Linked DNA regions of Cricetulus griseus. Each later gene encodes a partner of the first gene's protein in a complex. Links are inferred from orthologs where the notes say so. Each region holds a gene or a part of one and is shown on either strand. Other genes may lie near its edges.

Evidence for each region.
Region 2: Lrp5 (region 1) and frizzled-8 share a complex: the UniProt entries of both Homo sapiens proteins name them as parts of the wnt-signaling complex. The link is inferred for Cricetulus griseus from reciprocal best matches to the Homo sapiens genes LRP5 and FZD8.

What each region holds. Positions count from the first base shown.
Region 1 is NC_048596.1:55,621,429-55,625,238, forward strand, and holds part of Lrp5 (low-density lipoprotein receptor-related protein 5), read left to right. Parts: intron 1-1,421; coding exon 1,422-1,648; intron 1,649-2,703; coding exon 2,704-2,888; intron 2,889-3,810. UniProt on the Homo sapiens protein: Acts as a coreceptor with members of the frizzled family of seven-transmembrane spanning receptors to transduce signal by Wnt proteins.
Region 2 is NC_048596.1:205,980,587-205,984,856, reverse strand, and holds frizzled-8, read left to right. Parts: upstream 1-1,472; coding exon 1,473-3,527; downstream 3,528-4,270. UniProt on the Homo sapiens protein: Receptor for Wnt proteins. Component of the Wnt-Fzd-LRP5-LRP6 complex that triggers beta-catenin signaling through inducing aggregation of receptor-ligand complexes into ribosome-sized signalosomes.

The DNA.
Region 1 (3,810 bases):
TATGGTGATCCCTGTGTGTTTAGAGATTGCCTACGGCTTTTTTGTGCCACCAGGCTGAGGAATGGTGTTATTTCTATGAGGTGTGAGAAACCTAAAATCCTATCTATCCCTTTCTAGTGAAAACTGATCCCTACTGTACCATATGACTAACACATTTTGATCACCTTTGGGGATATAGTGGTGTATGCCTGTAATTCTAGTACTCAGGGGTCTGAGGCAAGAGGATTGCCATGAGTTTGAGACTAGCCTGGACTGTCCTGATTCAAGAAAGGGGGACTGGGGGTAGGGAGGTACAGAGAAACAAGATCACCTGTATCTGAAGCTACTATTTATTTGCTTGTGGTTATTTACTTATTTATTTTTAATGTTTAATTTCATTTATGTGTCTGTGGAGACCAGAAAAAGGTGTCAGATCTTCTGAAGCTGCAATTACAGTTATGAGATGCTTGATGTGGGTGCTGGAAACAAAATTTGGGTCCTCTGCAAGAGTAGCATTCACTTGTGACCACTAAGTCATCTCTCCAGTCCTTTCCTAATTCTCTCTCTCTCTCTCTCTCTCTCTCTCCTCCCTCCCTCTCTTTCTCTCTCTTTGGTTTTTTGAGACCATGTTTCCCTGTGCGATCTTGCTCTGTATACTAGGCTGGCCTCCAACTCAAGAGATTGCCTGCCTGTTGAGATTAAAGGCATACACCACTCCTCTTGGCAGTTTTTTTTTTTTTTTTCCATTTTTAAAGAAATGACTTGGAAGTCAAAAGATGAGGGTGTTTGGTGCCCTGAACTAGACTTACAGGTGGTTGAAGGCTATCATGTGGGTGTTGGGAACTGTTTGTTCCTCTACAAGACCAACAAGTGCTCTTAATCCCCGGGCTAACTTTCCAGCCTCACTCCGTTTCTAATTGTTAACAGTTCCTAAAGCAGTTTCATGTTTGAAAATTTCCTTGCCATGCACATACATACATACATACATACATACATACATGATTTTATTTTACATATGTACATTTATGTCTGTGACTATATGAGCATATATGTGTCCAGTGTACACAGAGGCCAGATGACAGTGTCCATTCCTCTGAAATAGTTACAAGTGTCTATGAGCTGTCTGTAGGAGCCAGAATCTGAATTCTGGTTCTCACGATTGAGCAGCAAGTGCTCTTAACCTCTGAACCATCTCTCAGTGCAGTCTTCTATATTTTTATTCCTTCCCAGATTCAAGTATGATTACTGGGTGGAGTGTTTTCTAGATTCTCCATCTGTGTAAAATCACACACATGGACATGCACAAATATCCAAGTTGCTTTTTCTACGGAAGTCATCTTCCTGCCTTTCAGTTATCTGTTTGGTGAGTCTGCTGTCTCCTGGTTGATGTCTACAAAAGATGATGGATCCTAACATGGCCCTTTCCATCCTCACCCTCCCAGACTATCAGCCGAGCCTTCATGAATGGGAGCTCAGTGGAACACGTGATTGAGTTTGGCCTAGACTACCCTGAAGGAATGGCTGTGGACTGGATGGGCAAGAACCTTTACTGGGCTGACACAGGGACCAATAGGATAGAGGTGGCCCGGCTGGATGGGCAGTTCCGTCAGGTGCTTGTGTGGAAAGACCTTGACAACCCCAGGTCTCTGGCGCTGGATCCTACTAAAGGGTAAGCACTGTTATTGCCTGTCACTCGATCCAGGCCCTGTCCATCTGTTCACAAGTGCCTCTGTGTTGAAGTCACTGCCTCCCCCTTCCTAGCTCTTTATGCTTACAGCATTGAAGCCACTGTCAGCCACAGACCTCTGGCTGCTTTCACATGGACTGTCTTTATTTATTTATTTTTTAAGATTTTTTTTTAATTTATTATGTATATAATGTTCTGCCTGCATGTATGCCTGCAGGCTGGAAGAGGGCACAAGATCTCATTATGGATGATTGTGAGCCACCATGTGGTTGCTGGGAATTGAACTCAGGTTCTCTGGAAGAGCCGTCAGTGCTCTTAACCCCTGAGCCATTTCTCCAGCCCCACATGGGCTGTCTTAAGTAACACTTAGGCTACCCTGGAAGCTGGAGCCCGGTGGGCCAAATGCAGTCTCTTTCTAGTCCCAAGTGTCCCTTGTCGTGCAGGGCACATACTCACCCCATAGAGAGTCCATATTGTCATGGGGGACAACTGAATCCTGTCCCATGCCTGGAACACAGGCAGGATGGCAGGAGGAAGACAAATGTCCAGATGGTTACCAAGGCCAAGAAAATTTTCCAAGCCTTTGAATGTGAGCATCTTTCTCAGATATGCAGAGGAAGAGGAGGAAGGGGCCCTCTGTGTTGTGTTATCCCTAGTCAGGGTTTTCACTCTATGAGAGAAGAAGCTCCATCCATCTGAATTTGCCCACATCTCTCTTGAGTGACAGGACACACCAGCAATCAGCCACCTTAGTTAAGATATGTTGCCTGCTTAGACAACCTTGTCTGATGGCCTCCTCTACTTGTCCTGTGTTGGCTGCTCGAGAGTTCTTCCTGGCCCCTGGGGAGAGCCAGAGCTATGGCTGAAGCACAGCTGAAACTGGCTCCTTTTTATTTCCTGGGGTTCTATCATTGACTGACTTCCCTCAGAGCAAGGGGGCTGAGTCTAGGAGATGGTGGCTACTCTTTTCCCCAAACCCTGCATTAAGCCAGAACTCACCTGAGCCCTGCCCATCTTTCCTCTCCTGTACTTTCCAGCTACATCTATTGGACTGAGTGGGGCGGCAAGCCGAGGATCGTGCGGGCCTTCATGGATGGGACCAATTGCATGACGCTGGTAGACAAGGTGGGCCGGGCCAATGACCTCACTATTGACTACGCCGACCAGCGACTGTACTGGACTGACCTGGACACCAACATGATTGAGTCCTCCAACATGCTGGGTGAGGGCTGGTGACCTCAGGGCTGTGGTATGGGCGCTGAGTGGCAGGGCTCTGGTTTCACTCTCCTTACACATGCTAGGCTACTCTGGATTATGAACCACTTGGCATCCCAAAGGTATGGGCATAGCCACAAGCATTCTTCTCTCTCTTGTATATCTCCATCTATCCCTGGTATCCTGAGCCAGGAGTGGTATTTCACCCTCTACCACATGGTAGTCCTTTTTATTAGTGGGGAAACTGAGACTGGATATGTCATAGGACTTGTCTGAGATCACCCAGCAAGGCTACTTTAGATATCCTCAGGGCCAGATTTGTCCTCTGTCACCCAGTAGCATAAGCTCCTCCTCGATGGCCGTACCCTCCTAATCTTTGTATTTAAAAGCTAAGTTTTAAATACATGGTATTCGTCTTTTAGGATCTGAATATTTTTGTGCATGTTTTTGCTTTTTAGAAATAATTTTCGGCTAGGATGTAGCTCTGTTGGTAGAGTGCTAGCTGAGCATGCATGAAACCTATGGGTTTTGTCCCCATCCCCTGCATCACATAAACTAAGTGCGACAATATAGCCTATAATCCCAGGACTCAGGAGGTGGAGGCAAGAGGTCATCTGTGGTAACATAGGGAACTTGAAGCTAGCCTGGGATGCACAAGGCTGGCCGGCCGGCTGGCTGGCTGACTGGGTGGGTGGATGGATAAATAGATAGATAGAGACCTGGTTTTTGATTGTTTTAAGACAGGGTTTCTCTGTTGTGTGCCCCTCACTGCTCAAGAACTAGTTCTGTAGACCAGGGTGGCCTCAAACTCATGAAGATCTGCCTGCTTCGCCTCTCAAGTGCTGGGATTAATGTGTCTGTCACCACTGCCGGGCTGTTGAGAGCTGTTTTTGAAAATAACTTTCCTTTAAGTTATACTACTTATGTTT
Region 2 (4,270 bases), about 150 Mb from region 1:
AAGGAATTGAGGTGCCCCAGATCACACAGCAATAGGCACTTATGTACCGCGACCCTTGCATGCAGGCAAGGCCCCAAAGTACTCATGGGCTGTCCATGACCAAACCTGATCATCTAACTGCAACAGAAGTAGCACTACATCACCAAATCTCCAAGTCTGAAAAGTCCTCGTTATGAGAATCCGAAGAGGCCATCCCTCCCTAAATACCCCAGCTTCGGGTCTGGACCAGCCTTAGAGCCCTCGTTGCGCTTCCGAGGCCCTCCAGAACCAGCAGGTGTTGTCCATGGACCGAGACTAGCTGGATCTTGACAGGTTCAGAGAGCCATGGGAGGTGCACGCACTACCGAACACTGTCTCAGGAAGTCCCCGGGTGCAGACTCGGAGAAATTCGATCAGGATCTCTGAAGCGCTGAGCTCTTTGGGGACAGTCTGGGTGAATGCTCAATTTTTGCGGTCAATTCCAAGGTGACCAAACTCTCCATCCGCCCTAACCCAGAAAAGCAGTGGCTGAACTACGGACTTCCTTAAGGAAGGCTGAGCCTTGAGAGCACATAGACTCCGCCCCACCGCCCAGTGATTGGTGATCCCAGAAGGGGGCGGAGACCCAGAACAAGCTCTATAAATATTCATGAGCCGGCCTGGAGGTGCTAGCTGACTGGAGCCGGGAAGTTGGGCGAAGGGCGCAGCTCCTGCGGAGGAGGAGGTGGCTGCTGGCGCAGACCACGGCCCTCAGGTGTCCCCTTGCCTTTTGCTCTGTGTTTGTTTGTCGGTCTCGCAAGAAGGCACAGCCTGCACCCTGACCGACTGTGACCACTAGAAAGCGACGTGGACTTTCGGCGGCGGCAGATGCAGGAGGACCGACTGGGACCGACGCGGGAGTGAGAAGGCGGCGGCCTGACCAGCGGAGGGCCCGGAACTCTGGCAGTGGCGGCGCGGCCTGGGACGGACATGAACCCTCGGGGCCCAAAGAGGGGCCGCTAGGTCTGACCCCAGAGGCGAGCGGCCAGGCACAGCCATCTTGACTGCGGCCCGAAAGGAAACTTGCTGCGCGCCGCCCTCTGAGCCTCCGCTGCTGGGCGCCACGCGAAGTGGCTGGGTGTGCAGGAGGACCTGCGCGAGCTCTGGACGATGAGCCCAGGGGCCACCACTCTGCTCCGGGAGGGCTGAGTGCCACCCAGAGGGCGTAGGGCAGACCCTGTGGAACTGTGGCGCGCTTGCGGTCACCCTCGCCCCAGGAGAGGCACGGGGGGGCGGGGAGGGCCGGACGACTTCTGCCTAAGCTTGCGACCCTGCTGCCACAGACGCTGCCCAAGAAAGGGCTAGATTGTTGGCCGATTCTCAGCTCCTCGGGAAGAAGCCGCACAAGACCCGCTGGTCGCCTGCTCTCCCTTTCCTCCGATTCCTCGCTGGGTCCCCTAGAGCCCTAGTGCGCGCCGCCTAGAGGAGGACGACGTGGGGCCGCGGCGCGCAGCATGGAGTGGGGTTACCTGTTGGAAGTGACCTCGCTGCTAGCCGCCTTGGCGCTGCTGCAGCGCTCCAGCGGCGCCGCCGCCGCTTCGGCCAAGGAGCTGGCGTGCCAGGAGATCACGGTGCCGCTGTGCAAGGGCATCGGTTACAACTACACCTACATGCCCAACCAGTTCAACCACGACACACAAGACGAGGCGGGCCTGGAAGTGCACCAGTTCTGGCCGCTGGTGGAGATCCAGTGCTCCCCCGACCTCAAGTTCTTTCTGTGCAGCATGTACACGCCCATCTGCCTGGAAGACTACAAGAAGCCTCTGCCGCCTTGCCGCTCGGTGTGCGAACGCGCCAAGGCCGGCTGCGCGCCGCTCATGCGCCAGTACGGTTTCGCCTGGCCTGACCGCATGCGCTGCGACCGGCTGCCCGAGCAGGGCAACCCGGACACACTGTGCATGGACTACAACCGCACCGACCTCACCACGGCCGCGCCCAGCCCACCGCGCCGCCTGCCGCCGCCGCCGCCGGGCGAGCAGCCGCCCTCCGGCAGCGGCCACGGCCGCCCGCCAGGGGCCAGGCCCCCACACCGTGGGGGTGGCAGTAGGGGCAGCGGGGACACGGCGGCTGCGCCCCCCTCGCGCGGCGGGAAGGCGAGGCCCCCTAGTGGTGGCGCGGCTCCCTGCGAGCCCGGGTGCCAGTGCCGCGCGCCGATGGTGAGCGTGTCCAGTGAACGCCACCCCCTCTACAACCGCGTCAAGACCGGCCAGATCGCCAACTGTGCGCTGCCCTGCCATAACCCCTTCTTCAGCCAGGATGAACGCGCCTTCACCGTCTTCTGGATCGGCCTGTGGTCGGTGCTCTGCTTCGTCTCTACCTTCGCCACCGTCTCCACCTTCCTCATCGATATGGAGCGCTTCAAGTACCCTGAGCGGCCCATCATCTTCCTCTCCGCCTGCTACCTCTTCGTGTCAGTCGGGTACCTAGTGCGCCTGGTGGCAGGGCACGAGAAGGTGGCCTGCAGCGGTGGCGCTCCGGGTGCGGGCGGAGCTGGGGGTGCTGGCAGCGCCGCGGCGGCTGGCGCGGGGGCGGCGGGAGCGGGGGCGAGCGGCCCGGGCGCGCGCGGCGAGTACGAGGAGCTGGGAGCCGTGGAGCAGCACGTGCGCTATGAGACCACTGGCCCCGCGCTGTGCACGGTGGTCTTCCTCCTTGTCTACTTCTTTGGCATGGCCAGCTCCATCTGGTGGGTAATCCTGTCGCTCACGTGGTTCCTGGCGGCTGGCATGAAGTGGGGCAACGAGGCCATCGCAGGCTATTCGCAGTACTTCCACCTGGCCGCGTGGCTGGTGCCCAGCGTCAAGTCCATCGCGGTGTTGGCGCTCAGCTCCGTGGACGGCGACCCGGTGGCAGGCATCTGCTACGTGGGCAACCAGAGCCTCGACAACCTGCGCGGCTTCGTGCTGGCACCACTGGTCATCTACCTCTTCATTGGCACCATGTTTCTGTTGGCTGGTTTCGTGTCGCTGTTTCGAATCCGCTCGGTCATCAAGCAACAAGGAGGCCCAACCAAGACACACAAGCTGGAGAAGCTCATGATCCGCCTGGGCCTCTTCACTGTGCTCTACACGGTGCCTGCCGCCGTCGTTGTCGCCTGCCTTTTCTATGAGCAGCACAACCGTCCACGCTGGGAGGCCACTCACAACTGCCCATGCCTTCGGGACCTGCAGCCCGACCAGGCACGCAGGCCCGATTATGCGGTCTTCATGCTCAAGTACTTCATGTGTCTGGTAGTGGGCATCACGTCGGGCGTGTGGGTCTGGTCCGGCAAGACTCTGGAGTCCTGGCGTGCGCTGTGCACTCGCTGCTGCTGGGCCAGCAAGGGCGCAGCCGTAGGCGCGGGAGCCGGAGGCGGCGGCCCGGGGGGCGGCGGTCCGGGGCCTGGTGGGGGTGGGGGACCCGGCGGAGGCGGGGGATCTCTCTACAGCGACGTCAGCACCGGCCTGACGTGGCGGTCTGGCACGGCCAGCTCCATGTCTTACCCTAAGCAGATGCCATTGTCCCAGGTCTGAACCCTGAGCGGACGCCCAGAAGGGGCGGAGAGGGGTGGGGGATGGGGAGCCCGAGGGCGGCGAAGGGACCCCAGATCGGCCGGGGTTCCCACCCCTTCACCGTGTTGATTGCTATTAGCATGATAATGAACTCTTAATGGTATCCATTAGCCGCTGGGACTTAAATGACTCACTCAGAACAAAGTACCTGGCATTGAAGCCTCCCAGACCCAGCCCCTCCCCTCCGACGCTCCGGAGCGCCTCCCCCAGGCAGTGGTTTCAGTCGTCTAGGAGAGTTGGAACCCTCCTGGGTACCCTGGCTAAGCCTTGAGGTCAAGCTACACACTTCACCCAAGGGACTGCTTCACCCTCGACCCCCGCCTGCATAAATTCACTCCTCATACACCCTGGAGGAGGGACGACTGCTACCTTGTGGGATTGCACGGTTTGGGTATTCTTAATGACCAGGCAGATGCCTTAAATAAACAAGAAATGTCTTAATTATACACCCCAAGTAAATACGGGTTTCTTACATTAGAGGATGTATTTATATAATTATTTGTTAAATTGTAAAAAAAAAAGAAAAAGAAAAAGAAAAGTGTAAAGTATGTATATATCCAAAGATATACAATGTGTACATTATTTGTAAAAAGTTTAGAGGCTACCCCTGTAAGAACAAATATAAGTATTCTATTTTGTCAATAAAATGACTTTTGATAAATGATTTAAATACCACCCTGTCCCCCGACTTTTCTGAACTGTTC